Rhinolophus ferrumequinum: one gene and its partners. The protein of the gene in region 1 purifies or fractionates together with the protein of each later gene. This does not show direct contact. Links are inferred from orthologs where the notes say so. Each region holds a gene or a part of one and is shown in the gene's direction. Other genes may lie near its edges. The genes, in order: TSEN2, TSEN15 and CLP1.

Region 1 (10,592 bases):
AATTCAGGCCTTTTGACATCTGAGGTGAACGTAGCCAGGCAAGCAGGAAAGCCAGGTTTGGGCCCTGTTGGGCCTGTTCTCCCCTGTCTCCTGTGAGCAAACCAGAGTTCTTCAGCCACCCAGGAAATGATGATTCTGAGCTCAGAGGTGGGGACCTGCAGGGGATCATATACAAGATAAAAGCAACTTGGGACAAAGAAGAATTCTAGGAGAGAGAGAGAAACAAAACACAAAAGGATAAGTAAGATATGAGACCATAAAACATACTGTATGAATGCAGCACAGCGGCCCTACAGGTAGCTGGGTTTAAAGCTACCTCTGTCACTTCTTAGCTGGGTTACCTTGGGTAAATAACTAACTTCTCTGACTCACTTTCCTCACCTTCAAAATGGGGATAAGAAAAGTCGTTACTAATAGAGCTGGAATGAGCAATAAATGAGTGGTAAAATGAGCCAATGCAAGGAAAGTGCTAGGCTCTATATCTATCCCATATTATTTTGTGTAATATGACAAATGTAAAGGAAGAGGGGAAAAGAGAAAAAGCAATAAGATTTTATTTTGCTCTATTTCTTTTTAGTGATTGATAGTTTGCAAAGAACCTTGGTGTTCGTGACTTTACATGCTGGTCACCTCAGCCCCGGGAGATGGGCAAAGTGAGAATTACCTTTAATTTCCTGTTGGAGTACCTGGTGCTGGAAAGTGGGTGTGTCCCCTCAAAGACACCCATTAAATGTTCTTATATGACCCTGAATTCAGAGAAAATGACGAAAGGAAAGGGAGGGAACGAGGGAGGGAGAGAAGCCAGAGGGTGTGCCCACTTCCGGCCATCTCTCTCCCATAGCGGAGGCATATCTTCCCCAGGGCCCCTGCACCTCCTCCTGTTCCTCTCTGTCCTGCTTGTGGGGTTCCCACAGCCTCACCTGGCGCTCACTTCTCCCAGGTGGGAAGGACATTCACAGGTGGTGGGACCTTTTGTAGGATGCCAGGAGTTGGACCCCATCAGCCACATTCCCCTAACAGAGTCTAGGACTGTGCGTCTCAGTGCCAGAACCTGTCTCACTTCCTCTGATGACCTTCTCCCCGTTTCCTCTCAGGCCATCCCAGAGTACTGGCAACTTGTAGTTTTCTAGTTTTGTATTTATTTGTTTGCCCAAAGCATCTTTCTGTGCAAACATTAAAACAGTTAAAGAAATACAACAAGTAACTTATCATCTATATTCCCACTCCTATTATTTGCTTTTAGTTTTTTTTTTAAGAAATTAAACGTAGAGCTAAAGTCCTCTTATTTCCTACCCAACTCCCACAGATAGCTAATGAATTTGGTGTTCACCCTTCCTGCTATTTTTAGTTTAGCTTACCTATAGATACATTTAGTATTTTATATTGTTTTGTGTGTATTTTAATTTACACAAATGGCATCAGAGGACTCATATTGTTCTGCATCTTGCCTTTATCACCAAACATTGTTTTTTAAATCTATCCATGTTGTTGTGTATGAGTATGTAAGAGCTAGTTCATTCCTTTTAAGATGCACAGTATTGCATTCTATGAACCTTTTAAACCGCACTTTATATGTCCATTTCTCTAGGGACGGTCATTTAGGTTGTTCCTTTTTTTAAAATTACAAATCACCAGGCTTTAATAAAGAAAAAGAAAATGTTGTGTGTGTGTCTCTTCCAACATCTATGCCCAAGTTTCTCTAGCAAATTTACCCAGAAGTCAGATGTGCTTGATTGTTAGTCACAGGGCAGAAGTAGACATACCTGTGATCCAATTCCCCCTCTGGTGCTTACTCCCTGTGTGACCTTGGGAAAATCATTTCATCTCTCTGAATCTGTTTTCTTACCTGTAAAATGGGTGCATGATAATCCCTAACTCACTGGGTTTTGAGAGAATTGAGACTTTCTAAAAAGCACCTGGAATTGTGCGTATAGCAGGAGTTCAGCTCTCATCATCCAGGCTACAGGTTTTTCTAGCAACCAAAGTAGGATTTAAAGGCAATGCCCAACGCTTTGCACAAGGGCCCAGCAAAGCAATGCCTTGGCGGCTTGCCCAGACAACCTCTTACCACATCGTATCAACTATTTCCCCTGCCTCGCCTGGTGTCAGCTTGGTAAATAATAGAGCAAATGTACCCCTCCGTATCTCAGTTTCCTCACCTGTAAAATGGGGTAATAGCACCTGCCTTGAACGGCTGTCGTGAGACTTAAAAGCTAGATAATATAAGCAGAGAGAGCACTTGTTAAAACTGTCTGCCCTTTCCTGCTCACCCTGACCCTTTCTCTCTTTCAGTTGTGAAATTATCTGAGGTTCTATCTCACAGGCAGGGTGAAACTGGACTGTGTTCTTGATTTGATTTTGGTTTCACGGCCCTTGCATTTTCTGTTGCGGATGCTGCGAATAAACACGCGCACGGTTTGCGAGGACCCTGTGTTTGTTTTCCTCGCCGGAAAGCAGTGTCCGCGAGAAGCTGGGTGGTTTAAATTTGCTAAAATATCTCCATCTAGTGGACTTGCTGCAACACTGCAGGGTTCGGCACTGTCTGGGAAAAACAATAGTGTGACAGCTGGGGCCGCCCTGCCCTGCTCAGAAACGCCAGTGGCTCCCCATTGTCTACGGGGTGAAGTCCAAAGGCCAAGCCTGGAATTTGAGCGCCGGTACAATCGGGCTCCGCCCTGCCTATCGGACCTTATCGGCAGCTTCGACCTCCTGTCCCCGCCAGGCCCAGCTCCTCCCCCGCTCTGGAACCTTCAGGCCCACACCTGCCTGGCACGTGGACCAGTCCTGTGCGGCAGACCCCATCTCCATTCTCCTCTCCACTCTCCCCAGGCTAAATCTCCTTCCAGGCTCAGCTTAAAGGCCACCTCTTCCAGGAAGCCTCCGGGTCCTTCAACCCATCTCGGTCTTCTGTGACTTCCCACCAACACTTGCTGTCGGTCATTTTTGTATTGCCACATTTAAAGCTGTGTTTTATCAATGCACTACCCTCCCATATCTAGCCTGATGGGTTAAAATAAATGCAAGCCCCATTGTCTCCCGGATCTGGATCCTCATCTGGCCTCCACTACTTCCTCGCTCTGAGAACTTGGGTGAGGGAAGGAACCCCAACTGTGAAATAGAGATGAGGACACCATCTTACAGGGCTGTGGTGAGAATGAAATAAGATAGGATGCAAAGTGGTCGGCGCATATTAACGCCAAATAAATTGTCCTTAGGGTGGTCAGATAAAACACAGGATACCCAGTTGAACTTGAATTCCAGATAAACAATTTTGTTTTTAGTATAAGTATGTCCCAAATAGTACATGAAGTTTCCGTGTGACATATCACAGATAAACGCTATTGTTGTTCATTTTGTTAGATGTGCTAATGATATTAGGGATATATATATATATGTGTATATATATATATATATATATATATATATATATATCAGTTCATCCTCACTATTGGTGGATTCTGCACTTGCAAATTCACCTACTAGCTAAATTTTACTTGTAATGCCAAAATCAATACTCACAGAGCTTGGTCATTTGTAGACGTACACATGCATACAGCGAAGAAAAATTTGTATCTTCCAATATGCACGCTCTCAACTGGAGTCAACAGACATATACTTTCTTGTTTTCAGCTCTCATACCCTAAACAAGTGTGCTTTTTTCAATCTCTTTAGTGCTATATTTTTCTCATTTTTGCACTTTCTGTTGGTGATTTCGCTGTTTAAAATGGACCCTAAGCAGAGTGCTGAAGTGCTGTGTAGGGTTCCTTAGCCAAAAAGGCTGTGATGTGTCTTACAGAGAAAATAAATACATGTGTTAGATGAGCTTCATTCAGATGTGAGTTATAGTGCTGTTGGCCATGAGTTCAATGTTAGTGAATCAATAGTAGATATTAAATAAAGTGTCTTTAAACAGAAACACACATAAAACAAGCTTATATATTGATCGGTGGATGAAAATGTTGTGTCCAGAGACTGGCAAGAACCTAACCCTGTATTTCAGCTGGGAGCAATGGTTCAGTATATTCACTAATTCAGTGTTCGCAGGGACACTATAGAATTACTGGAATAATGAGAATCAAATATAGGTATATATATAATAAAATTTAAAAATTAGAGGTACATACTGAAATATTCTGAGTGAAATTATATGATGTCTGGTGTCACTTTAAAATACTCCAGGAGTGGGATAAAAGTGTGTATATGGAGCGTGTAAAAGAAATAAGATACTAAAGGCTGAAGATGTGGAAGTGATGATTTATTAGATAACTCTATTTTATGTATGTTTGAAAGTGACCGTAACAAAAGGTTTAACATACACATTCAGGAGAAAGTCTTGAGGGAAGAATATTTTATTCAGTAACTTCCACTCTGTGGGGACCCTCTGTGGAGACAAGGCTCCAGATGACAGCTACCTAAGATTCCATTATGGGGGAATCCCAAGCCCCTGGCTGTGGAGCAGGAGGAGGTTCAGGAGACTGGCTCTAGTCTCAGCATCCCCCTCAGACTGCTCAGCTTCCTATGACAACTCACAATGCCTCTGAACCTTTTTTCTTATCAGTTAAAATATGAAGTTGTACTGGATAACCTCTGAGTTCCCTTTCATTGTTAAAACTCTAATTCTAAAACCAGTATTTCCTAAATTGGCACGTTCTGGTACAATATATCTCGCCCAACTCTCTGTTCCCTGCCCAGTCCATTCTGATACCACTCTTCTATGAATCCTGCTGAAGTTCTCCCTTTTTCGCAACACTAACAGAAAACTATTCTGATTTTGGCTTATCTGAAGTCTGAACTCTTCAGTTGAGCCGTTTAAGGCCCATCGTGTCTTGAGCTCTTTCTACCAAGAGTTCATAGACCAGTTAAGGAGGACCAGGAAACAGGGGACACAGAGGAAAGTCATCCAAGGTGGTCTAGGGAAGCAAAAGGAAACCTCCTAGAGGAAGAGCTATCTGAACTGAGACCTAAATGGTGACCAGGAATTACTGCTGCAAAGAGAGTAGGGAAGAATGTTCCGGGCAGAGGCAACAGTGAGTTCCAAAGCCTGGAAACAAGAGAAAATTGGGAAAGGTCCAGATTTCAAAGCCCATCACATCTAGCCCCACCCTTTCCTGTTACCCACCTTCCCCAACTGCCTAGCATGTGTGGTATGCGCCCTGAGGACCCTGGAGTTCATATTTGGGCAGATATATAGTATTGGACTTCCTACCAGGCCACCTTTAAAATAACCAAGTCAGGAGAAACTTTTACATTTCCCAACACACTTTTGCTCATCCTTCATAATCCTGGCAACCCATTTTTCACTAGAGGGAAATGAGGCTCAGAAAGATTGTCACTCACTCAAGATCACACTGTCAGTGAGATCACAAATGCAGATCTGACTCCTGGTCTGTTCTTTTTACTGCACAGGGCAGCCAGTGCACAGTGGTTTTCGGTCAGGTGTGTGCGAAGGGGTGCTTCTTTACGCCCTGCATGCTGCAGCTTATACGTATGCATTGAGTAAGCTGAAACCAGCGTCAGGGCTGACTTCAGCCTCATTTCCTCAGGGCCGGGGTCGTGTAATAGACTGACTGGTCGCTCAAGAGTCCCATCTCCCCAGGGGCGAGGACTCTGGGTTAAATCTCGAATAACGAATAACTTCGAACCTCATCTGTAAAATGGGTGGTGAGGGATTGTTGTCAGGATTAAACGAAAACAGCATCTGTGCAAGGGGACCTCCGTATAATACCCGGGAGGACAGGAAAGAGGACATGTTGCCTTCGCTTTAATATGCGAAGGTCGAGCCATACGGAGAAGAGAACTGTACGCAGGCGCGCTCCGTAAAGACTTGGCGGGCTGTCCCTCGGGCTCTGCGGCTGCGCATTACGTCCGGCTTTGCGGCCGCACTGCTTGACGGCAGCGGTGTCCGCCCCCCTGGCCGGCGTTGTCAGGGTAACGGCGAGTGCGTGGGGCCGAAGGAGGTAAGATTCTTGGACTTGGGAGCGGGCGGTGTATCCCGGCGTGGAGCGCTGTGGTCCCAGCGCACGGGGCAGGGGCGAGGTTCTGTCAGTCCCAGGAGGAGACGTAGCCTTCTCCGGAAGCCCTCCGGGGCGACAGTGACAAGGGCCTAGAGACTTTCTCCGGGTTGCACAGCCGGACTAGACTGGGCCGGGACGGGGAGCTCGGCTTCCCAGTTCTGCCTGAATTAACCACTCTTCCCCTTCTCCGTGCATCTGTAGTCCTTCGTACTTCTCTTTCTTCCTTCTTTCTGGAAACATAGACGCCATGTCCAGGGCTGGGGACGTCGAGGTACATCCAACACCGCCTCTACGCGAGAAGACCTCAGCCGCTAGTGGGGTTGCTGCGGGGTGGAGGGGATAAGTTCAGACAGTTACGGATTTGTTGAGCCCTTAACTCTTTTTGGCTTGTGTGCCATCATTTATTGCAGTGGCAGCCACCGTCTGGCTAACACTTCCACGTGGTAGTAGGCCCTGTACTGGGCACCTTTGCACAATTACCCTTTTAATCCTCACAACACCCTTCAAAGGTTTGTCGTTTGTTTATGTCTTAGTCTCGGGTTCTAACTTGAAAGATCCCCCCGAGGGAGGACTGTTTGCCTTGTCCCTTTTATCTCCGCCTCCCCTAGCCCAGGAGGTAAGCAGTTGGCGTTTCAAACATTTTTTAATTGGGAAAAGGTGAACTTGCTAGATGGTAGGTAGGTATTAACCAGGCTTGTTTGGCAAGGCTGACCCAGGGAACTGGAAAACTAAATGTAGCTTACCTTCCCCGCTCGGTGTTTTGCTTTGTTTTGTTTGGAATAAACAACTGAGCGCCTAAAAGGTGTTATCTGCTCAAGGGAAGAATAAAGAGCAAGCCGTGGTTTCGATGGAAAAGTGAATTACTTAATGAACACTGCTGTTGTCGTTTGGGAAAGGAAAAGGAACCACCTCTTACAGGTGCATATCCCTCAGCCCCTCTGAGTCCTTTTCCTCATCTGTACAATGGGAATAGCAACGTCCTTACCTCAGGGGGTTATTGGGATTAAGTGTGTATGAATAGGCCATCCTCTCACCAGTGGTTGGCAACTTTGGTTACATGTTGAAATCATCTGGGTCCCACCCCAGAATTTCTGATGTATTTGCAGGTAAGGCATGGACAGTAGGAGTTTTAAAATTTACCCAGGTGAGTCTAAGGACAGCCAAGCTTGAGAGCCATTCTTATATGCCACCCCGGGTTAATTTTCTTGATCTCTTTTCAGTTGTCATAAGCTGCACTGGCTCTTAAGTCTTAAACCAGCCTTCACATCCCAAACCCCCTGACAACTAATGTAGTCCTTCCTTGTTATATATCTCTGTGCTTCAGACATACAGGTCTTTTAGGCCAGTTTTCTTACCATGCCTTCTCTCCCTACCTTACTAACCTCTTACCTTCCCTCACAATGGGGCTTTGGGCAAATGACCTGCCCTCTCTAAGCCTCCGTTTCCTTGTCTGTGAAATGAGGATAGTACCACCTGTGTAGCATACACCACAGCCAGTGCCTACTTCGAATGCTGTACCTACCCATAATGGTTACCCTCTTCTAATCTTACATTCCACATCTGGCATCATGCTGTTCTCCTATCATGGCACTAAAGAAATGTTTCTTAAATGCCTGTGGCAGTTTTGGACAGTAGTAATTCAGTCCTTTCTCCCCTGCTTTGCCTTCTAAGTTCAGCACAAGACAACTCTTCCACAAAACTATGAAGCTAGAGATCATCTGGTTTGTTCTGTTGACTCTTTTAGATACAGCTTTATGGAGAGATCATTCACATACCATAAAATTCACCCTTGTAAAATGGACAAGTCAGTGATTTTAGTATAGTCACAGAGTTATGCAACCATCACCATCACTGCAGTCTAATTTTAAACATTTTTTATCACCCTGAAAATAAACCCCATACCTATTCAGTCACTCCCCATTTCTCCCTTCCCCAGCACTGGAAGTCACTAACCTACTTTGTGTCTCTATGGATTTGCCTATTTTGGACATTTCATATTAATGGTCTACAATATGTGGTCTTTTGTGACTGGCTTCTTTCACTTAACATAATGCTTTTAAGATGCATGCACATTGTAGCATGTATCAGTACTTCATTTTTTTTATTATTGCTGATAATATTCTATTATATGGATATAGCACATTTTGTTGATCCATTCATCTGTTGATGGAAATTTGGGTTGTTTCCTCTTTTTAGCTATTATGAATAATACTGCTGTAAACATTCATATACATATTTTTGCACGAACATGTTTTCAGTTTTCTTGTATTTATACCTAGGAATGGAATTGCTGGATCATATGGTTACTCTGTGTTGACATCTGAATAACTTCCAGACTGTTTTCCAGTCCTGTTCAAATTGAAGATGAAGAAACTGGGCTCAGAGAGCTTCAGTGGGTTGTGAAGGTCAAATGATAGTAATGGCAGCTTCCATATATATGGAAGGCCTCCTATGAGCCACGTTTTTGATGTACATTCTGTCACTTGGGCAGAAGTGACACTAGATCCCAGATTTTGAGGGTTTTGTGAAAAACAGTGTTTTGTGGCAGGAACCCCTCTATCACACACTCTGTTGGAATACAGAGTTCTTGCCATCAAGTATCATAGTTCATTCTTTCTTGTTTTAGAGTAACAGCAATCTGAAAGCAAAAACACTAAACAAACAAGGATTAAAATATACCTTTTCATTTTTGCTTGTTTGAGAGAATTTAATTGGAAGTTCTAGAAGTTAGCCCTTTTAAACATTTTCTCTTTAAAAATTCCAAAGGTAATATATACAAGTCAAATACTAACCAGAGGTTAAGTGATAAAAGTGAAAATCTCATAAAAGTCTGAATCATTCCTGTAAATCTCTAGAAAGATCCTCATTAGAGATCAACATCCTGCCTCAAAATAGCCAAAATAGCATTGTTTGAGTTTTAGAATAAATTGCGGTTTCTTCAGTTGAATATTAAATGCAATAGTTGGCTTGGATCGAGGAATAAGGCAGCAAGTGAAAATCTAGTTAAAATGTTCTTGGAAGAAAAATACCTTAATTGCGGTATACATGGTTTTGTTATGAATGCTGTACAGCAATGTGTGTGTGTGTATAAAATGTGTACAGTCATGCTCAGTATGTGATTCCACTGAGGGATCTTAGAAATTAAATTATCCTAGCGTTTTGCTGCTTGGAATACTTCGGCAATTCTATGAAGGTTCCAACTTGCTGACCCTTCTTTTTCGTACTTATCTCTGTAACTGACGTGTCAGTCTCTCTAACTCTTCCTTGGTCTATGTTTGTCTTTATCCTCATTTAACTCCTCAGCTTTTTTGAGAGGGTGGGGAAAGGTACCACACATTGGACAAAGCTTTTCATTTCTTTTGAATGGTCATGAACCCTTAAAACCACTGCCCTTCCTTCCTCAGCTTCGGCCCCCTTCATGGCTGTGTCAGGCCTGATTACATCCATCGCCCAATGGGATGCTGCTATTGAGTGCCGGAGGCACCTCAATAGTTCGTCCTACTTTTCTCCTTTTGAGGGCTTGGAGCCGCATAGGCTAAAGGTGTGTGTGCTATGGCTCCATGGGATCTCCAAGCACCAGATTCTGCTCTCCGTTTAAATCGAGTCCAGACCCGGCAGTGAAGCAGGAGCAGATCCAAATCTCCTGTCTCATTCCAGGGCATCCGTCCGTTTGCACTGTTTGCATTTTTTCCCCTTGCGTATGTACGGTTGAGTTTTTCCTAAGTTAAATGCATCAACTGTGACTCTATGTCTTTATCGCACAATACACTCAACTTTACTTCCTTCCTCTAGCCATTATTGAATGGCAGCCTGTTGTGTGTTAGAGGCTTGTTTTGTCTCCTCAGGCTGAGTGTAAAGCCTGGAAGGGAGAGGTACTGACTTCAGCTTCCTTGACTCTCTTGTAGTGCTGGGTGCACAGTAAGCAGTCCCACAGTTCTCAGTAACTCTGACATTCAGCAGACCTGGGCGAGTCCAGTGCCCCTACTCCCTGGAGACTTTTACAAAATCTCCCAAACCTGAATCTGTTTCCTCATCTGTATAACCGTGTTGGTAGTATGAACCCCTTCATAATAGCCACAGCAAACACATGCATAGCACTCGGTGTGTGCTAGGTACTCTTCTAAGCAATTTATGGGTCTTAACTATAAGACAGAGTCTATTTTTACCCTTATTTTGCACATGAGGAAACCAAAGCATGGAGACATTAACTTTTGCCCACAGTCACACAGCTAGGAAGTGATGAAGCAGATTTCTATCTCGGCACTCTGGCTTTAGAGGGCCTACTCTTAGCCATCACCTATGGAGGTATACAATAGAGCCTTAAATGAGAACCGCTGCTATCATTGTTATTATTTATCAATTTGCCTTAAATATTGAAAAATGATTGACATAATGTTAGGAATGTATTTTAAGGTCCTTTTTTTTGGAAAATGAAGTGCTCACTGGATTTCATTCTTTGAGGACAAGGTCTCTTTTGGTTTTATCTTTATCTCCTCAGCACCTCTGACTATTAGTTGCTGCTGGTAGGTGCTCAGTAAATGCCTATTGACTGAGTAAAAGAATGGGAGTAATCCTAAC
Region 2 (10,338 bases), on another chromosome or scaffold:
AAATATTTAATAAACATGGAATATATATACATGTATATGAATATATAGTTTACGACTAATAAAATGAATGTCCATATACCCAGCACTCACCTTGAGAAACAGAACATGACCGTTAACTTCGAGGCTCTTGGTATGTCCCTTCCTGACACAATACTCTGCTCTACTCCCCAGAGAGAAGCACAAGACTGAATTTTGTAGTAATCAGTGTCTTAATTTTATGTAGAACTTTACATTCTGTGATGGTAAATTTATGTGTCAACTTAGTCAGGCTTGGGTACCCAAACTTTAGATCAAATCAGTCTAGCTGTTGCTGTGAGGTATTTTTTGGATGCAATTAACATTTAAATCAGTAGACTTTGAGTAAAACAGATTATCTTTCAGAATGTGGTGGGCCTCGTTCAATCAGTTGAAGGCCTTCAGAGCCAAGACTGAGATTTCCTCGAGAAGGAAAGAATTCTGCCTCCAAACTGCCTTCTGACTCAAGACTGAATCATTAAGTCTTCCCTGAGTCTCCAGCCTGCCCTGCATATTTTGGATTTGGCAGCCCTACACTTGCATGAGCCAATTCCTTAAAACAAATCGATCTTTCTGTCTCGCCTTCTTCTCGCTATCTCCCTACCCCTACCCCACACCCCCCACACACCTCTGCACATGTGCACATCCTATTGGTTCTGTTTCTCTGGATAACCCTGACTGGTATGCCTCCTAAATATGCCTCCAATAGGCATAGTGTTGCCTCTATTAGAATTTTTCTCACATACCATGCAGTTTGCCTACTTAAAGTATGCAATTCAATAGCTTGTATTATATTTACGGAGTTATGCGACATCACCACGGTTAATTCTAGAACATTTTCATCGCCCCAAAAAAGAAATCCCATATTCATTAGCAGTCGATCCCCATTCTCTCCCAACCCTCGCCCTAGGAAACCACTAACCTTTTCTGTCTCTATTGATTTGCCTATTGTAGACATTTCACATAAAAGGAATTACGCAATATGTGGTGATTTGTGGCTGTCTTTTATCCCTTAGCATAATGTGTTCAAGGTTTACCCATGGTGTAGCATGTATCTGTACTTTCTTTTTATTACTGAATAATACTCTATTATATGGACATACCACATTCTATTTATGCATTCAGCAACTGATGGACATTTGGGTTGTTGCTACTTTTGCTCTATTATGAATAGTGCTGCTGTGAGCATCCATGTGCAAGCTGTATTTGAAATTTATGTAAATTTAATCATATTTTATATATTCTTCTGTGACTAATATTTTGCACTGTGCATTAGGTTTTTTGAGATTCATCGAAGTTGTTGATTGAAGCTGTGGCTCATTATTTTCACATAGTAATACATTGTATGAATGTACAACAATGGATTTATCTATTCTACTATTAATAGATATTTGGCTTGTCTTTGTTTTTTTCTGTTACAACCAATACTTTCATAAATACTCTTGTATATGTCTCCTGATCCAAAGGAGATAAATTTTTTTTTTAACCATAACCATCAATTAGAAACACATTTGGTATCATGGTATGCTATAAATATGTAACAAACAAAAATTTCATGAGGCAATACTTAGTAACAGTTATTCTAACTATATGCAACACACACTTATATTTCCTATTCTATTTTAAAATTCATTTTTAAAAACTGGCCCTAATGCATTCATATTTACTTTACAAGCACTAGTGGATCCTTATTGTCCGTTTGAAAAATACTGCTCTAGGCTATGTACCTGGGAGCAGGTTTTGCTGGATCATAGGATTTGTGCATCTGCTCTACTTTTCAGCCAACTCTTGAGGTTTTGTTGCCAATTTCATGGGTATGTTATACTATCATCTTGTCTTAATTTACATTTTCTCACTCTAACAATGTAGATGAGCACCAATTTTATTTGCTGGCCATTTATGTCTTTTTTTTCCCCCTGTTTATTCCCATTTTCCCCCTAGAGAGTGTTTTATTTCCTAATTGATTTTTAGGAGTTATGTTTATATTCTGGATGTGAATCATGTCTTTCAATTATGGGTTACAGATGCCTTCTCCAAGTCTATAGCTTTTTGTCCTCCACGATCTTTGTGTCAAAAATTCTTAATTGAAATATAGTCAAATTTATCAAACTTTTTTTTCACATGGTTGGTGCTTCTTGTGTCTTATTTAAGAAATTCTTCTCTATTTTAGGGTCATAAAATATTCTTATATTTTCTCCTAAAATCTTACATGTTTTGTGTTTCATTTTAAGCCTTTAATCTATCTGGAATTGATTTTGTTTATGGTGCAATTAGGGATCCAAGTTCTTTTTATACAAACATACGTATGTATATATATGCAAAATACATTGCCTCAACTCCTCCCTGCAATGCATACATCATTTCTGCCCAAATTTGTATGCCTGTATTCGGTTCCATCAGTTTACTTATCTATCCCTGTACCGATATCACATACTGTCAATTATAACATTTATAATAAGGTCCATCGGTTTGTTCATCAGAAGAATCTTGGTTATTTTTGGCCCTTCGTGCCCACATTTCAGAATCAGCTTATCAGGTATTAGGAAAGTCCCCGTAGGGATTGTGATTAGAATTGCTAGAATTTATAGATCAATTTGGAGGAAATTGCCATCTTTACAATATTGAATTTTTTTCTTCAGAAGCACAGTATGTCTTCCATTTAGGTAAGGTCTTCTCTCATGATCTTGGGTAACATTTATAATGTTCTCCATTAAGAGCTTGCTTATCTTTACTAGGTACCTTATTTTTGTTGTTGTTGTTTTTTTTTGCCCCAAATATAAGCCGTATTTTAAAATTTTAAATATATTATATCCTGATTTTGTAAAGGGGGAATTTAGATTGCACTGTTAAATTAATGAGAAATTGGAGAGAACATATTTTTGAATTACTCTAAATTATTTTCTGAATGATAAAAAACCCTCATATATGCTCATTCATATGAATAGTAAAATATCATAGCATTCTAAATATTTTACCCAAAGTGTAAACATCTCACGTACTCTCCTTGAGACACAAAGAATGGGAAATTCTGTGCTTTATGTACAAAAGAAGGAACAAAATATATATGAACATTCTTACGAGCAATGCGTTAAAGCTGATCCAGAATGCTAGCCTAAATTTTTCAGCTTGAGATCATTGTCTTATACAATACTGTGTAAAAAGTTTTTCTTCTAAAAATTCACCTCACAACTCAAAGTGTGTTTTTCCTCTTGAGATTCTAACTGAATTAATATGTCTCGGCCTAGACATTACAGATATTTTTGTGGGAATAATATGGTCTGGCTCACATATCAAGATGGGAAATCAGTAGAGCAAGGGCCAAATTACATTGAACTTGATCACATCCAGTATACTCAGGGGGCATTTTATTTGTTGTTACTTACCTAGCTTTTTTTCCAAACCACTTTGCTTCTCTAATATAGTGAACTACTTAAGTATGTGTAAAACGAGAAATCCTTCACTCTATCAAGAGCTGAAACTCAAACCTGTTCTCTATGGATTTCAGTCTACATTGCCACAATAGTCATTTGGATTCTAATCCTTTAAAAACTAGGTTGTTTTAAGTGTTCTCAAATCCTTTGTTTCTTTTTTCTTAGCCATACCCAATTACCAAGGTCTATTTATAAAATTTCATGGCTTAATACAAAAGCCAAGAGATACTCCATTTTCATCTTTTTAAAATAGACAATGACATTACAATTCATAAGCACTTAATATTCGTGCTTAAACGTATCTTGCTTTTTGTAAGCAATAGATCATCATCTGTTTGCCAGAGGGTACCATTACCTGTTGTCTTTTCAGTTTACAGGTCTTTCCGCTTCTTTCTGGGATTCCCTATCACCCTCCCTCGGTTTTTTTCTTAAACTCAAGTTTAAACTGAAAATCTTCCCCTGAAGGTAGTTGAGGATTGTTCACATCGTACCTAATCCATTGGATTTCCTTACTGATTTATAAAATTTACCCTCTACTCATATTAGGAACAAAATGCTCTTAATGCTACTATAAATACCATCATCTAAATGGATTGGGAGGTCAAAGAGAAAGATTTATTTGCTTCCAGTGACTTGAATTAATGTCAGTGTTCAGTGCTTTAAGGAGCCTATTAATTTCAGTGCTATTTGCTTCTTTAGAGCTTAGCAGGGGCTTTCTGGAGACAAATGTTAATGACTTGATTCAAACGCAATACATTCTAGCACAATTTATAGATCTTCATGTGTGGTTTTACATCACATTCAGGAATAGAGGCACTTCTCCCTGTGTGTAATACGCGTATATTCCATTTTTTTGATGCATTCAAACTTTTTATCTGGCTTTCAACAGTTTGACTTCAGCATTGATTTTGTTGTATTTATTTTACTTGGTATTCATTTAGCATTTTGTACCTGCAAATTTCTGTCCTTCATCCAATTTGGGGAAATATTTTATTCAACGTTTTTTCCTGCTTCATTCTCTTTCTTTTCTCAGCTGGGTGTTCTATTTGTAAGTATGTTGTTTGATATCATGTTGTGGGTCTCTGAGGCTCTGTTCATTTTTTAAAAATCATGTTTCTTTGTTTTTCATCTTGGATGATTTCTTTTGCTCTACCTTCAAGTTCACTTTTTCCCCCTCTGCAATTTGGCTGTTAAATCTACCCAGTGAGATTTTTTTTTCTGAAATTTTAATTTTCAGGTGCAGGATTTCCATTTGATTCTTTTCTTCTGCTGAGATTTTCTATTTGACTCGTGAGATTTTCATTCACTGAAAACATGTTTTATTTTGCTTCGTGGAGGATAGTTTTCATGGTTACCTTCAAATTCTTTTCTGTCAGTTTCAACATCTGATTCATCTCAGGATTGGGCTCTAGAAAATGTAATCCAAATGTGATTTTCCTGTGTCAGTAATTTTGATTCATGTCTTGGTCATTTTGAATGATGAGTTGTGGAGGTTTGGGGTCTATTATTTTTCCATGATGAGTGTTATTTCCTTTATATTAGTAGGTAATTTTCTTGGCTGGATTATTTGCAAACTCTGTTTTTTAGGGACAGCTCTGGTCTCAGTTCAGATCCTTTGTTGTCAAATGAACTGCTGTAATTCTGTTTCGAGTGGTTCAGGACCTGTCGGAGATGTGAGCCAACAGAGTTTGGGAAATCCCCTCTCTGGAGCCTTCCCTTCTGCGATTTCCTAATGTCTTAAGCGTTCAGAGTTTCCTGGCTTCACTTTTCTGGTTCCCCAGATAAGAAAAATGGAGAGGTTTTCCATATGCACCCCTGCTGCCGCTGAGCCTGCCTCCTGGACTGTACCGAGTCTCAAGCTAAACGCCAAGGAAAGGAAAATTTTCTTGTATAGTTCTTATCTGTCTCCCAAGCAAGCTGCCCTTCCTACCAGTGAGCCTGCTTCTGTTTGCATTCAGTATATTCTGGTAGTTGCTTTTTGTATAACGTCCAAGTTTTACATTATAAATGTTTTCTACGGGGGGATAGTCCAGTAGGGTCTTAGTCATATTTGGAAGCAGAAGTTCTTTCTCTGCCTGTGACTTTGAATCTTGCCTTGCCAAATGCAATAGCCTCCTAACCAGTCCCTCCTTCTACCTTTGCCTCCTAAGGTCTATTCTCAACATATCAGCCAGAGATACCATTAAAACCTAACAGGAATTTCCAATGTTCTCTCCATGTCACTCATAGTAAATCCAAAAATGCTTACAATATCCTACTCTGCCTATCTGAAACTCCTCAACCTTGGTTTCCTGGTCCCATGTTTACGCTAGTTTGCATCCTACTTTTCTGACCACTCATTCAACTATTCCTATTTCCTCTTGCTCCTCTAATCCTGAAAGGTGGGTCCACCCCAAAATTACAGTTCTCAGCAGTCTGGTCTTTCTTCTTTTCACTTTCATCTACAGAGATCTCCTCCACTTCCACACTTTAAGCTTACATGACAGGACACTGAATGAGACTTTCCCTGTTCTCAGGAATTGGAGACCAGGACCCGATGCTGAACGCAAAGAGGCCATAAGGATTCTCTACTTTCTCAATAGAGCTGCAAACAGCACTGATGTAAGGAAGAGTTAAGGGCTTCTGGGCTCAGGAGAGTGAACCTTCTTCACTCGCGTATCTGCCCGGATTGGAATACACGCACCGCGAAACTAGAGTGCGTTTGTGCACGTTCTCGCTACTGGTGTCAGAAGGCGGGGCTGATCTCCCTTTGCGGCCAGCATGGGAGTCCTCCCGGGCGGAGGCAGCCGGCCGCAGGGAGGCGGAACCCAGACGCGCGCATCCCTGCTTCTGGCCGGGCGCGGGGCGCGGTGCACCACGGGCGGGCGCCACCGGTCGGCATGGAGGAGCGCGGCGATGCCGAGCCGACCCCGGGTTGCAGCGGTCTGGGCCCGGGCGGCCCTCGCAGCGGCGGCGGCGCCCACTCCTGGGCCCCCGAGGACGCCTGGATAGGCACCCACCCAAAGGTCAGGAAGCGCGAGAGGAGCGGGGCGTCGGTTCAGGCCGCTACCCCCGGCGGACCCCCGGGCTGCACGCTACCCTCCACTCCTGCGGGGCCGGGTCGCTGAGTGTGCGCGCGACCCTCACGGAAGGGGACCCGAAAGCACCCTGCCAGCCGCAGGCGGTATTGGTTTTGCGTGTTGAAATGAGTTGAACTGTTGCTCAGACACGACCCCCTCCCCACCTCCCCCCCCCCCCACCTCCCCCCCCCCCCACCCCCCCCTCCCCCCCACCTCCCCCTCCCCCCCACCTCCCCCTCCCCCCCACCTCCCCCTCCCCCCCACCTCCCCCTCCCCCCCACCTCCCCCTCCCCCCCACCTCCCCCTCCCCCCCACCTCCCCCTCCCCCCCACACACACACTTCGCTCGCTGTTCTTATCCGCAGGGAAAGACAAACCCAGCCCCTCGCAAGCCAGAGGCCGACAGCAGCCACACCACTAATATCTGAGTTGTTGCCGTCTAGGGCTGGTTCTGGGGATGGGCTCATTTACTCCCCACAGCAACCACGCAAAAACAGTTTGTGGGCCACGGATAAGATCTAAGAGACTGTAATGATGAAGGTGTAGGCACTTGGCCTCGGGCCCACACAGTGCGTCTGGATTTTGCTGAAGTGCAGCTTCCTAAGTTTTCGAATTTCTTGGAAAGTTAGGTGCCTCCCCAAAGCAAGAACTACTCATCTTGTGGGTGTATTTTTCTCTAGTAGCAGTAAGGGAGGGAAAGAGAATTTCTTGCTTGCTTCTGTTGGCGCAAATTGGTGCCTTGTACCAGTAATGTGCCAAGCAATGAATGGACGATGAATGGCGGCGGTGGGGGTTTTGTAGGAATCTCAGGGACTGGTCTGGTAATTTTAGTAGAATTGCAGCCTCCTGCTGGAGAGCAATGTTCATAAGGGATCACCTAAGAACAGTCAAGAAAAGGAAAATTTTGAGGATACCAGCCTGAGAAGTTAACCCCTTTTCATTTTCTCCTGCTTAATTTTTTCCAGAACTCTGTCCCTTTATTCCCCCTCAAGGTGAGAAAAACACACAGGAACATGGAGAGGTTATGCAGTGCCAGAAAAAGAAAAACCATAAGGTGGAGAGGCAGCACAGTGGTTAGGAGTATGAACTCAAAGTCACGTTGCCTGAGTTTGAATCCCGGTTCTGTCACCAGCTTTATGATTGGGGGCAAGTTGTTTAATCTCATTGTTTCCTCATGTGTAAAATTGGAGTAATAACTTACCTCACAGGGTTATTACAGGATTATATCAGTTAAAGTGTGTAGAGCAATCGACAACATAGTAAGCTCTGTGTAAGTATTTAATAAGTAAAACACCCGCAACAAGTTTTAAAAACCTCATCTAGATTTGGTGGTGCTGTCAGTGTTTATAATTGCAGATTTTTTTCCCTTTGAAGTTAATGGCTATATAAGCCCTGACCATCAGATCTTCCCTTTTGATTTTCTTCCTGAAGGATCTAATTGATTAATAAAAAAGAAAGAAAAGAAAATACATTGGGTCCTTGATTTTTCCAGTTCTGCATTTTTAATATTCGATTTGAAAATAACGTAGTCTACCCAGTAATATGGCATCAGCTGTATCACCCTTAAACACCACTTTCATTATATTATTCTCACGCTTAGAAATCCTCCATGTTTCCTTATGGAAAAAAGTCAGAGTTTTAGCTTAACCGTCAAGGCCTTGCAACCTAGTTCCCAATTACGTTTTCAGTGCTTGTTTTCAAGCACATGTGAAGTTGGAGGAAAACGAACCACACCCCTGTACCTGTATACTTGCGATGAAGCGATGACGCCGGTAGGAGAATGTGACATCAGATATGTAGCCAAGAGGGTCTACTGATCCCTCACCTCTGCATTAGCCCCGCTTACTCATCTAGCCACTGCCTAGGTGGACAATCTCAGGTATCCCCTGAAGCAGCAGTAGCAGCTTTCTTGGTCCTTTCTTTAAAATCCAGCAACTAAAGAACTCCCTACTCTTAAGTGGGAAGAGGTGGGGAAAGAGGCCAGGAGTGGTATTCTAACAGAGTTTTCTCCACATGCAAATAAGAGACCAGGGAAATAGAAGCTTCCACTGACATGCCGCAACAAAAATCTTATTAAAAAATGTCTCTACTCCTGGCAGGTAGGTTTCTTTATAGGCCTTTGAATATGTGTGGCTTATTCTCATCTTTGTGTGATTACTTACACTGTTACTCTACCTTCTCAATTTACTCAAATCGTATGTGTCCTCCAGGGCTCAATTGCATCCCACCTCTGCCATAAAACATTCACCAATTAAGCCATCTGAATGGAGCATCTCTGACCCGTTGTGTCACGTTTTTGTAATTCCACTCACTTGGCTTTTAATTACTTACTGTCATTGTTATTTGCCTAACAAGTATGCAATGTGTTTATCCAATAATTGGAAGTTTTTTAGATGCAGGGATCAGATCTTAAATTGCCTTGTAACTCCCACTCTACCTAGAAAAGAGTTTTATACATTAGATATATTTAATAAATAGTTGTTGATTGAGTGAAAGAAAATATTAAGAGATTCATCCTTCTCTGTTTAACAATTACCTTTTGATTTTCAGTATTTAGAAATGATGGAATTAGACGTAGGAGATGCCACCCAAGTTTATATAGCATTCTTGGTTTACCTGGACCTCATGGAGAGTAAGTTACTTGTTTATATTGTTTCATTATTGGGTCTGTGGTGAAGAGTTGGGGAGTTAAGTTGGAATATTGCATTGCTGACATTATAATAACCATCATATATGCATTTACTGTTAATTTTGTCAATTTAGTAATTTCTTCATTTACATTGGAAATTACCGGGTAGCAGAAAATACTGAAAAATAAAGAGAAGAGAGTGTTATGAGTGGTATTTTCTCAGCTGAGTATTAGGTAGAAGTTTAGAATTTTGATTTTTGATTTTTGATAAACACTACTTTCCATTCAATGATGCTCTTTCAGGTAAAAGCTGGCATGAAGTAAACTGTGTGGGATTACCAGATCTCCAGCTCATCTGCCTTGTTGGTACCGAGATAGAAGGAGAAGGGTTACAGACTGTGGTGCCTACACCCATCAGTGCTTCCCTCAGCCATAACAGGTGGGCAGTGATTTTGGTCTTTGGTTAACAGGTTAGTTCATCACATCGTACACCTTCAGCTTATGCAGTGTTATACGTCAGTCATGTCTCAATGAAAAAAAATGAAAGCATGGTGGAATGTGAGTGGATGAGAATGATAATATATTACGGGGAATATTAATTTTCTGTTAAGAAATAACATGACAACTTTGATACTTCATTGTTAGAAATGAATTGTTTTCCACGTACTGCACAACCCATCTGAGCACAGCAGTTTTGCTATCCTACACTATGCAGCTTAGCTGTTTGATTAGAGTACTTTTTAAAAAAATGTTCTTTATTCCTTAAAAACTTTAAATAGCATTTTTATTACTAGAGAATCTGGGTGGTATACAAGCCCGAGAACCAGAGGATTTGGTGATTTGCTGGAGGTGCAATTTCATGTTATTTACAAAGGGCATATAGCATAAAAGGCATTACAGCTATCCCCTGTCTTGAAGTCCCAAGTTTGTAAAACTGGACCAAACCCTGTCATTTACATAGTTAACTACAACTTGGTTATAAAATATTTCTCGAGTGATGACAATAAGTAATCTCACTTATCCTTTAAAATCACTTCAGGAGCTATCTTGACTATTGAGTGGCAGAGAGGCCTATATTAATATATTTGTATGGCTTATTCTTTCTGTTGTTTATTTTATGATGTAAATGGATTTGCTGATTCCTTAAAAGGTAACAATTTTAGATAAGATTTAACATTATATCTGAGTGAATTTCTAAGACTCCT
Region 3 (9,544 bases), on another chromosome or scaffold:
GGGTCATCAGGCAGTCTCTCCACTAAACCCCCATCAGAGACCGTCTTCAGTTTCAGGTCCTCTCCCTGTGGCTGGGCCCCAGGAAGACACCTTGGGCTGAGTTCAGGGTGACATTGGGCTCTGGCCGCAGGAAATGGGCCCTCCTCACCAGCACACTGGTCAGCGTCCACTTCACTAGTCGGCCTCCAACTTTGCCTGCAAGTACCCCTCTGCCGCTCCACCTAGCACACCTTCAAGGGCCCGGGGAGGGGGCCAGCCAGGTCCCTGCTCTACCTCCTTCCCCAGCCTCCGTCACGCCTCCCGCCCCCTTTCTCTAATGCTTCCCCATCAAGCAAGGAGAGGCTGCACAGAAGGATAGAGAATACTCAGAGGAGGGGGAGTAGGGGTCATTTCTTCCCCATCTCAGATCGCAGGGAAAAGCACATTGGGCAAATGACTGGGGAAAAAACAAAGGCAAGCTAGCTGAGTGCTGGGGAGAGGATGTTTCCCCAAGTGAGCCGGGGATGGATCGTGGGAGGCAGGGGAGAGGGAGGACTGGGGTGGGGGTGCCGGGGAACCATCCCCGACAGCAGAGGCCCAGAGGCGGAGGCTGGAGGAACCAGGTTCGAATCCCATGCCTCTCGGGAGGGGAAAAAAAGGGAGGAGGCCACCTGCTCACAATGGATTTTCTCATCTGCTCTGAGGCTTCGGCCCCCTCTGGGCTGGCATTCTCAGCATGGTATGGTCCAAAATCATTAGCAGCACAGCCAGCTCCCTGGGCGGGCTTTGGGGGGTCCACACCAGCAGCAAAACAATAAACAGTGATGCCTAATGCTGCAGCTGAAGTTGCCAGGAAATAAGTGCGGGAACCATCAGCGCTTGGAGAGGGATGGAGGCTCTGAGAGCGGAGCGGAGGCAGCAGGGAGGGGGAAGGGAGGACAAAGGGTGGATGAATAATGCTTTTGCAAAGGGGAGAAAGCAACACGCAGCAGGAGGAGGAAATTTGCAAAGGGAAAAAAAAATTCATTTGGAGAAGGGCTGCCCCCTCACCTTGAGGTCTGCTCCAGAGATCTCCGTCTATCTCTCTTTTTCTCAATCTCTCTGCTCACTCTTCTCTCTTCTCTTTCCGCTCCTTCAATTGCGAAGGGGATGGGGGCAGGGAGGGGACTAGGGGCTCAGGACGGGCTGCAAAGCTGGCCAGCTGCTGGGGGGCCAGAGGTTGCCTCCCGTCTGCACCGCGGTCTGTGGGTGAATGTAGCTGGTTGTGGGACTGCATCATAACACTGTGAGTCATCCGCCCCCCACCCCCTCACCTCCCACGTCAGAGCAGGGCTGGGAGACACAGGAGGCGGGGCGGGAGGGAGGGGGGACAGGAATCGAGGGGCGGGGATGAGGGAGTGGGGCAAGGGTTGGGAGCAGAGGGACAGGACCAGGAGGGGACGAGAAAGAGGACAGGCTGGTTACCGAGGAGGAAGGCAGTGTGGTCAAGGAGAACCTGGGGGAAGGACAGAGCTGGGCAAGGATGGAGCACGGGTGGCAGGGCTGGAGGAAAGGAGGTGGCAAGGCAAGTGACGCTGAGAGATGGTTGCAGAGTGGCGCCTGCACACATGCAAAATGATATATTCCTCATTTCGGCTCAGATGGACAGCAGCCCTGATGCAGAGAAAAGAAAGACATACTAGTTGTCACATATGGCAAACTGTGCCCCCAAGCTTGTACCAGGCATTTGCAAACCTCAAAGCCTCAGCGTAATAGCCTACCCCACCAAGGAGTCATAGAGCAAATGCGACATCTCACGTGTGGGAACCTCTTATCAACTATCGCCAAATTGCTTGTGCTTCACGAACGGAGACACCCGCATTACATAAGGTTCTCTACCGGGTTGTAAACTTTCTGAGGCAGGTCCCGGGGGCAGTTCCTCTGTTCACCCCAGGACTGCAATGCCTAAGTGCAGAGGTGATGCTCCCAAAACAGCAGTTGAATTGCATCTTCAGGCGTGATCCCAGTGTCTGGCTTTGGTTTTAAAGAGACCTGAGATAAAATCCCATCTCTGCCAATATACTCACCAGGAACCACTGGGCAAGTTCCTGATCCTCTCTGTGCCCAGGTTTCCTCTTCTGCTAAATGAGGCTAACAATATTTCCCTCACAGAGACATGCAGCAAAGTGAGATGACATGTAAATAGCTAAAACGTGCCTGGCACCTGATAGGCACCTGGTAAACAGCCGTCGCTGTTATTTCAAAAGTATGTTCTCAACTTGATACCCTGAAACCCAGAGAGAGGGTTTATTATTAAGTTATGGTAGCTCAAGAGACACATGCCAAATTTGTGTCGTTTGAAGAACTCACGTCTTTCAGTGCTATCTTTCTATCAGCTTCCAGTTATATTTCTTTTGACTCAGAATATTTCTTATGGGGGCGGCCGGATGGCTCAGTAGTTTAGAGTGTGGTGCTCTTAACAACAAGGTTGCTGCTTCACTCCCCACATGGGCCACTGTGAGCTGCGCCCTCCACAACTAAACTGAAACAACTACTTGACTTGGAGTTGATGGGTCCTGGAAAAAAAGACACTTAAAATAAATAAAAGTTTAAAAAATATATTTCTTATGAAGTGCTGCCCTGTGCATGTCACTGAAGTATGTGGACACAGAACACATCCTCTAAGAGAAACTCCCTGATTTCTAACAGAGGCTAACATTCAGGAAATGAAGTGTGACAAAGATGGGGGCTTACAGAAAGGACTGCTTGTGGGTGGTTAGTTTTTCTTTCAAACGTAAGGTAGGATTCAGAGTGAAGGAATATTCAAAATCTGGCTGATATCATTCTGGTTGCTATCTTTTTCTGTGGATTTCCTGTATTCCTTCCTAACCAATTACTTCAAACAAAAAATTAACCTGAACTTTTATTTTAATGAGTCACAAGATAGTCCCTCAAAAAATACTTTTAGTATATAACCTCTTTGCCTTCCATCCTCAATAACTAATGGCATCTTCTGATGCAAGATTTACATAAAGCCTTGTTAAATATAGATTTAAAAAAAAGTAAGGTAAGGAAATGTAATGGGAGGCATTGCTAGCTGGGTGTGAATAAAGGAATTCTAAATATTTAATCAGAAGATTCTGGGGTTTAAGGTAAATTCTGAAAACACAATGTAGGTGATAGTACCAGAACTTTGAAATTGAGAGGGAAAACTCGGTAAAGAAAGAAGAGGGACGTGATCTTGACTGGGCAACAGATAAGAAAGGAAATATAAACACAGGAGGAATATGCGGAACAATTCTTGAGGAAAACAGTGGGAAGTGGGAAAACGGAAGGTGAGTAGTTTTAGGACAAGGATTAAAAGTTTGGAAGCAAAAAGAATATCAGTTTAAATTAACTTGGGAAGAAAATGATCAAGGTAGTTTAGCTGGAGAGGAGGTTGGAAAAGATATGAGGACAGTGTTATTTGGGGGTGGGGTGGAGATGACAGGAGTGCTTGGTGAAAGAGAAAAGAGAGTGTGTAGGCAAGCACAGATGCATTAAATGTGCCCTGACTCTTTCTGTGTTTAGAAAGCAAAATGGAGAAAAGTCTAAGCGGGGGTGGGGGTGTTTCTTTTCCCTAAATTCAGTTTGAGATAGCTATACAATATCCAAATAAAGATGACCTTCAGATAATTGGAAGAAATTGCCTCAGGGGAGAGGGTGTGGAGGCAAAGAAAAAGACCTGGGAAATAAATAGACTGCTCGGAAACAGGAGAAGAAGATGAGCTCACTCGGGGAGAAAACTTGCGAATGGAAGACTGGAATTGAATTTTTGAAGAATGGTGAAAGATTAGGGAATATCTAATAGTTCATTGGAGAGTTAATGCACGCATGGTGAATGCATGAAATATTTAAAACAAGCTATCAAAGAAAAAACTGTGAGAAGTGAGGATGGCACTCTTAGAAAGTGAGTGCTAAGGTAGGGTCAGTGGGACAAAGGCAAACCAGAAAATCTTTCTGGGCTTTCAGTCCAGATTAACCATGTGAGCTGGACTCAAAAAAGTACTCATCTATAAGGCAGGGATGACAATGGTAGTATGTACTTCACAGGGCTCTTCTGAGGATTAAATGAATTTACACCTGTAAAGCCCTAGGACAGCACCTGGCATCTAAGACTATGTGTTTGCTGTTATTATATTAACTGGACTCAGACTCCAAAATCCTGGGTTTGAGTCCTAGCTTGGTCAAGTCCCTTCACCTATCTTCATCTCCCCCTCATCTGAAATTGGAGATAATAAAACTTACTTTACAGGGTGACTGTGAAGAAAGGTAACCTGAAAGGGCTTTGAAAAATGGAAACCACTGTAACAAATGGATGGCATTATTATAGCCCCGCTTCCTCAGACTATAATAAAAACTTAAAAGCTGACATCAAATGTTTTCTGTGTTACAGGCATCGTGCTTTAGAACTTTGTACATCGTGCTTTAGTACAGGCATTAGTACTTTGTGTATCATCCCATTCAATCATCAAAACGACATTAAGAGGTCGGGTACTGTTATCATCCCCATTTTACAGACAAGAAACTGGATCTCAGAGAGTTTAAGGCTATGATTCGCCCAGTCACAAAGTGAGCAAGTCGCATAGCAAAGAATACAAGATTCCAAAGCCCAGGCTGGGGAGAAGTGGCTTATAGATGTAGCCCAACCTGTTGACCTTGTGTAACTGTCAGGGATTTAGGGAGGGCAAAGAGTACCCAACCAAACTCCCCACTCAAAAGAAGAGAGGTGGTTGGGTAATGACTGGGTAAAGAGTAACAGGAAGAAATTCTTGGATTTTTATTCAAAAAAGTTGTTTTCAATGCCCTCTAGGTGCCAAGCACTGAGTCAGGTAGGGGATGACAGCCCAGGTGGGCCTCTGACAGGCTGTTTTCCTCCACTTTCCCTACACCTAGGTTTCTTCGTGTCCAAGAGGGGTTTGCCAATTTCGTCACTTCCTGGCTTGTGGTCCAGGCAAGCAGGCTATCGTGGGACATTAATAGTGAGGCCCCCTCCGTTCCCCTTCCTGGGTAGCAGGTGAGCGGGAACACAGGGCAAGAAACCACACCGGCCGCGCCCACGCGACCCACGGCTCCTCAACCGGTCCCCGCCCCGCGCGGGGGCGTAACCGGCACTCCTACCCGCGTCCCGCCCACTTTGCGAACAACGTTGGCCGCAGCCCCTCCCACTTTGGCGTCATTATCAAAACAATCCTTTAACTACAACTCCCAGAAGGCCGAGCGGCTGCATAAGCTGGGGCTGTTTCTGTACAACTATATATCCCAAGGGGCATCGCGCCACCGTGTCTCCTCCACTGCGCAAGTGCAGAACCACCCTTGTTTCCGGCGTGGGTCCCAGCGAGCTTAGGTCCTGTGTGGGCGGGCTTCTCCATTTGGGGCTCGTGGCTGTGCAGGTGAGATAATAAGTTCAGGAAAGCTACTGTCGCTTCCTTGGGGCCTGGGCAGATTTTGTGTCTGGGGAGGCTGGGACAAATGCCGGACCTAGAGCTGCAGTCTTGTATGAGAAATACACTGGTACCTCGGTTTTTGAATGTCTCTGTTGACGAATATTTTGGTTTATAAAAGCTGTAAATTTTATGGATCTATAGTATCATTAGATAGTAAAATTCATGCTAAATTTGTAGTTTTAGGGGTTGATCTTAAAGGTCTGGAACGGATTAATCCATTTTGTATTACTTTCTATGGGGATACCGCGCCTCTGTTTTCGAACGTTTCAGAACTCGAACGGTCTTCCGGAACGGATTATGTTAGCAAAGCGAGGTACCACTGTAAGTCTTAATTATTCCTTGGCGTTTTCTAGCTTACCAAGTGTTTTTTTTCCCTTCAATAATCCCTGTTAATCCCCAGAACACTTTTGTGTGAGGAAGTTTAAGTGCCTCCGGTTGACAGCTGAGGAAAAGGATCACACTACTAGTCGTTGCTGAGCAGGGCCTTAATGCTGTTTTCTAAGTTCACACCAGGTATTCTCTTCTTTGCATACGGATTGCAGATGCCCTTTCTTGTTGATTAAGGGTTGGGAAGTCGGCATCCCTTGCTTTCTCAAGTCTGGAGTATCCCAGTAGAGTGAAGGGAATGATGAGATAATGTAACCAAGTGTTCTGTCAATCTGTAGATACAGTTTTCTAATTATGTCTGAGTCATTTATTCACTTGGTGTATTTATAGAGGTGCCTATGGGTTTTAAAGTCCTACTCTAGTTACTAGAGATGCAGCAGCAAAACAAAAATGCCCAACCCTAGTGAGGATAGACAGACAATAAAATATGTGAGACAGATGGTGATGAGCGATAAGGAGAAAAATAAAGCAAGATAAGGAGTAACATCCACTGGAGGATTCTGAACAGAGTTCTAACTTGTTTAGATCTGAAATTTACTTTGTATTGTAGGCACAACAGCTACACAGAAAAGATGGGAGAGGAGGCCAATGATGACAAGAAGCCAGCAACTAAATTTGAACTAGAGCGAGAAACAGAACTTCGCTTTGAGGTGGAGGCATCTCAGTCAGTTCAGTTGGAGCTGCTGGCTGGCATGGCAGAAATCTTTGGCACAGAGCTGACCCGAAACAAGAAATTCACCTTTGATGCTGGTGCCAAGGTGGCTGTTTTCACTTGGCATGGTTGTTCTCTCCAGCTGAGTGGCCGCACTGAGGTGGCCTATGTCTCCAAGGACACCCCTATGTTGCTTTACCTCAACACGCACACAGCCTTGGAGCAGATGAGGAGGCAGGCGGAGAAGGAAGAGGAGCGAGGCCCCCGGGTGATGGTCGTGGGCCCCACTGATGTGGGCAAGTCCACCGTGTGCCGTTTGCTGCTCAACTACGCAGTGCGTTTGGGCCGCCGCCCCACTTACGTGGAGCTGGATGTGGGCCAAGGCTCTGTTTCTATCCCTGGCACCATGGGAGCTCTCTACATTGAGCGGCCTGCAGATGTTGAAGAGGGATTTTCTATCCAGGCCCCTCTGGTGTATCATTTTGGCTCCACAACTCCTGGCACCAACATCAAGCTTTATAATAAGGTCAGAGCCAAGGTCGGGTGGAGGGAAGGGTGGGTATTGAGGTAGGAAGCTGTGCAGAAGTTTGCTAGTTAAAACTGTCTACGGCCATTGCTTTGCTCCCTTAGCTGGTATTGCCACATGATTTCAGAAAAGACAGTTTCAGATATAAGTCAACCTCTGATTGTAAATGTTTCTGTGGACCTATTCTTAAGTAATTATTAAATTTCCATAAATTCCCATGTGGAACATGAAACAGGAGACAGAAGAAACAACATAAACATTAAATCCATCTTGTGGGGGTCAAAACCACAGCCATTATAAAATGTTGTTTTTCTTGTACCTAACACCACTTTTTCTAAAGAGGGACAAAATAGCTATGGATTTGTTCTTTTTTGCGGTTTTTTCCCCCTCACCTTGATCCTTTCTTCTGCAGATTACATCTCGTTTAGCAGATGTGTTCAACCAAAGATGTGAAGTGAACCGAAGGGCCTCTGTGAGTGGCTGTGTCATTAACACCTGTGGCTGGGTGAAGGGCTCTGGTTACCAGGCCCTGGTGCATGCAGCCTCAGCCTTTGAGGTGGATGTGGTTGTGGTTCTGGATCAAGAACGACTGTACAATGAACTGAAACGGGACTTGCCTCACTTTGTACGCACTGTGCTGCTCCCTAAATCAGGAGGTGTGGTTGAGCGCTCTAAGGACTTCCGGCGGGAATGTAGGGATGAGCGTATCCGTGAGTATTTCTATGGATTCCGGGGCTGTTTCTATCCCCATGCCTTCAATGTCAAGTTTTCAGATGTGAAAATCTACAAAGTTGGGGCACCCACAATCCCAGACTCCTGTTTGCCTTTGGGCATGTCCCAGGAGGACAATCAGCTCAAGCTAGTACCTGTCACCCCTGGCCGAGACATGGTGCACCACCTCCTGAGTGTTAGCACTGCTGAGGGCACAGAGGAGAACCTTTCCGAGACCAGTGTGGCGGGCTTCATCGTGGTGACCAGTGTGGACCTGGAGCATCAGATGTTTACTGTTCTCTCTCCAGCCCCCCGCCCACTGCCTAAGAACTTCCTTCTCATCATGGATATCCGGTTCATGGATCTTAAATAGAGATCAACAGGAAGCCTTGCTGCCTGGGGCATGGAGATCTGGCCATCACCAAAGGCAGGTGGGCTGAGGTATGAGAATCTGTTGAGAACAGGCTGACAAGTAAATAGTGACTAGTAGAAAGTTTATGTTCTACCTCTAAAAACCCACCTCTTGGGTGGTGGTAACACACCTCTTCTAATTTTGAACCAAAAGGAAAACCATGGGAATATAATTGGTTTCTTTGATCCCGAGGGGCTGCTTTGAAATCTTGAAAGCCCTAGGGAATCCCATTTCTTTTACTGTTTTTATCACTGTTTTATATTTTGTATATAGTACTTTTTATCTCATTTATCCAGAATGAAAGATTGTGTTAAAAGGCCTCCTTGCAATAAAGTTCAAACTTGGGAAAAAATTATTTTAATAAATATTTTTGCCGTATCACAGAAGTTGGTATAGTTTTTTCAAATTGTTTTTTTCCCCTTAAGAATTATAGAACCATCATTGTTATGATCTATTGCTAAATGCTTAGAAGAGAGGAAAGCCAAGAGCGCATCTATGAGCCAAACAGGTGAATTTTTATGATGGTTCCCCGTTCCTCTGCACTTAAGTAACTAGATGGCAAATCTGTTGCCAGAGCCAGGGTTACTATGAGAAACCAAAGAGGCTGGTGATAACTTGGGATGAGATTTCAGATCTAATCATTTTCCAGAGATGGCTTATTTTCTCCCAGCTGCAGCTATCTTTCCTATTGTCTATTTGATTGGAATCAGGCCCTAAATCAAAGTGTAAATTGAGCTTTCAAGGAAAAGTCCATACTCTGATCTCTTGCAAATGACTGGGTTCCTAGTTTGGATCTGGATTATTGAATAAGTATCTGATGCCCTTCATTCCTTCTTTCCACAAGTATTTATCGAGCACCTACTATTTGCTAGGAACCATTCTAGATAGGGAACAGGATAGACTAAAAGTCTTATGGAATTTACAGAACACAAAAAACATAAGTGCTATATGCAGAGACTTCAAATTGGGTGATATGGGACAGTGACCGAGAGGCTACTTTAGATTGGGTGATCAGGAAAGGCCTCTCCTAAGCATACACTTCGAGTTAAGACCTAAATAGCTGTGTAAAATTTGGGTAAAATATTTCTGGTGGAGGAAACAGTGTGAAAACTTAAGAAAGGAAAAAGCTTGATGTGGTTGGTGAAGGGAATTGCCGGTGAGACTGGAGTGTAGTGAATCCAGGTGAAGAGGCTGGAAAGGGCAGCAAACATAATGTAGGGATTTTGTAATCCAAGAGCAGTGGGAAACAATGAGAGAGGGGGTGTGTCTTAGTCTTTTCTGGCTACTTGAACAAAATACCGTCGACTGAATAGCTTATAAACACCGGAAACCTCACAGTTATGGAGGCTGGAAAGTCCAAGATCAAGGCACCAGCATGGTTGTGTTGATGAAGGCTCTCCTTCCAGTTTGCA

The links.
Region 2: the proteins of TSEN2 (region 1) and TSEN15 purify together in Homo sapiens (affinity purification with mass spectrometry; 4 studies listed by BioGRID and IntAct, counting the BioPlex papers as one, with this or other methods). This does not show direct contact. The link is inferred for Rhinolophus ferrumequinum from reciprocal best matches to the Homo sapiens genes TSEN2 and TSEN15.
Region 3: the proteins of TSEN2 (region 1) and CLP1 purify together in Homo sapiens (affinity purification with mass spectrometry; 3 studies listed by BioGRID and IntAct, counting the BioPlex papers as one, with this or other methods). This does not show direct contact. The link is inferred for Rhinolophus ferrumequinum from reciprocal best matches to the Homo sapiens genes TSEN2 and CLP1.

The regions. Positions count from the first base shown.
Region 1 is NC_046300.1:41,979,757-41,990,348, reverse strand, and holds the start of TSEN2 (tRNA-splicing endonuclease subunit Sen2), read left to right. Parts: upstream 1-5,856; 5' UTR 5,857-5,957; intron 5,958-10,592.
Region 2 is NC_046305.1:15,433,747-15,444,084, forward strand, and holds the start of TSEN15 (tRNA-splicing endonuclease subunit Sen15), read left to right. Parts: upstream 1-6,305; 5' UTR 6,306-6,325; coding exon 6,326-6,451; intron 6,452-9,054; coding exon 9,055-9,136; intron 9,137-9,436; coding exon 9,437-9,572; intron 9,573-10,338. UniProt on the Homo sapiens protein: Non-catalytic subunit of the tRNA-splicing endonuclease complex, a complex responsible for identification and cleavage of the splice sites in pre-tRNA. It cleaves pre-tRNA at the 5' and 3' splice sites to release the intron.
Region 3 is NC_046294.1:11,512,208-11,521,751, reverse strand, and holds CLP1 (polyribonucleotide 5'-hydroxyl-kinase Clp1), read left to right. Parts: upstream 1-5,269; 5' UTR 5,270-5,390; intron 5,391-5,625; exon of another isoform or gene 5,626-5,765; intron 5,766-5,844; exon of another isoform or gene 5,845-5,957; intron 5,958-6,381; 5' UTR 6,382-6,403; coding exon 6,404-7,009; intron 7,010-7,421; coding exon 7,422-8,093; 3' UTR 8,094-8,513; downstream 8,514-9,544. UniProt on the Homo sapiens protein: Polynucleotide kinase that can phosphorylate the 5'-hydroxyl groups of double-stranded RNA (dsRNA), single-stranded RNA (ssRNA), double-stranded DNA (dsDNA) and double-stranded DNA:RNA hybrids. dsRNA is phosphorylated more efficiently than dsDNA, and the RNA component of a DNA:RNA hybrid is phosphorylated more efficiently than the DNA component.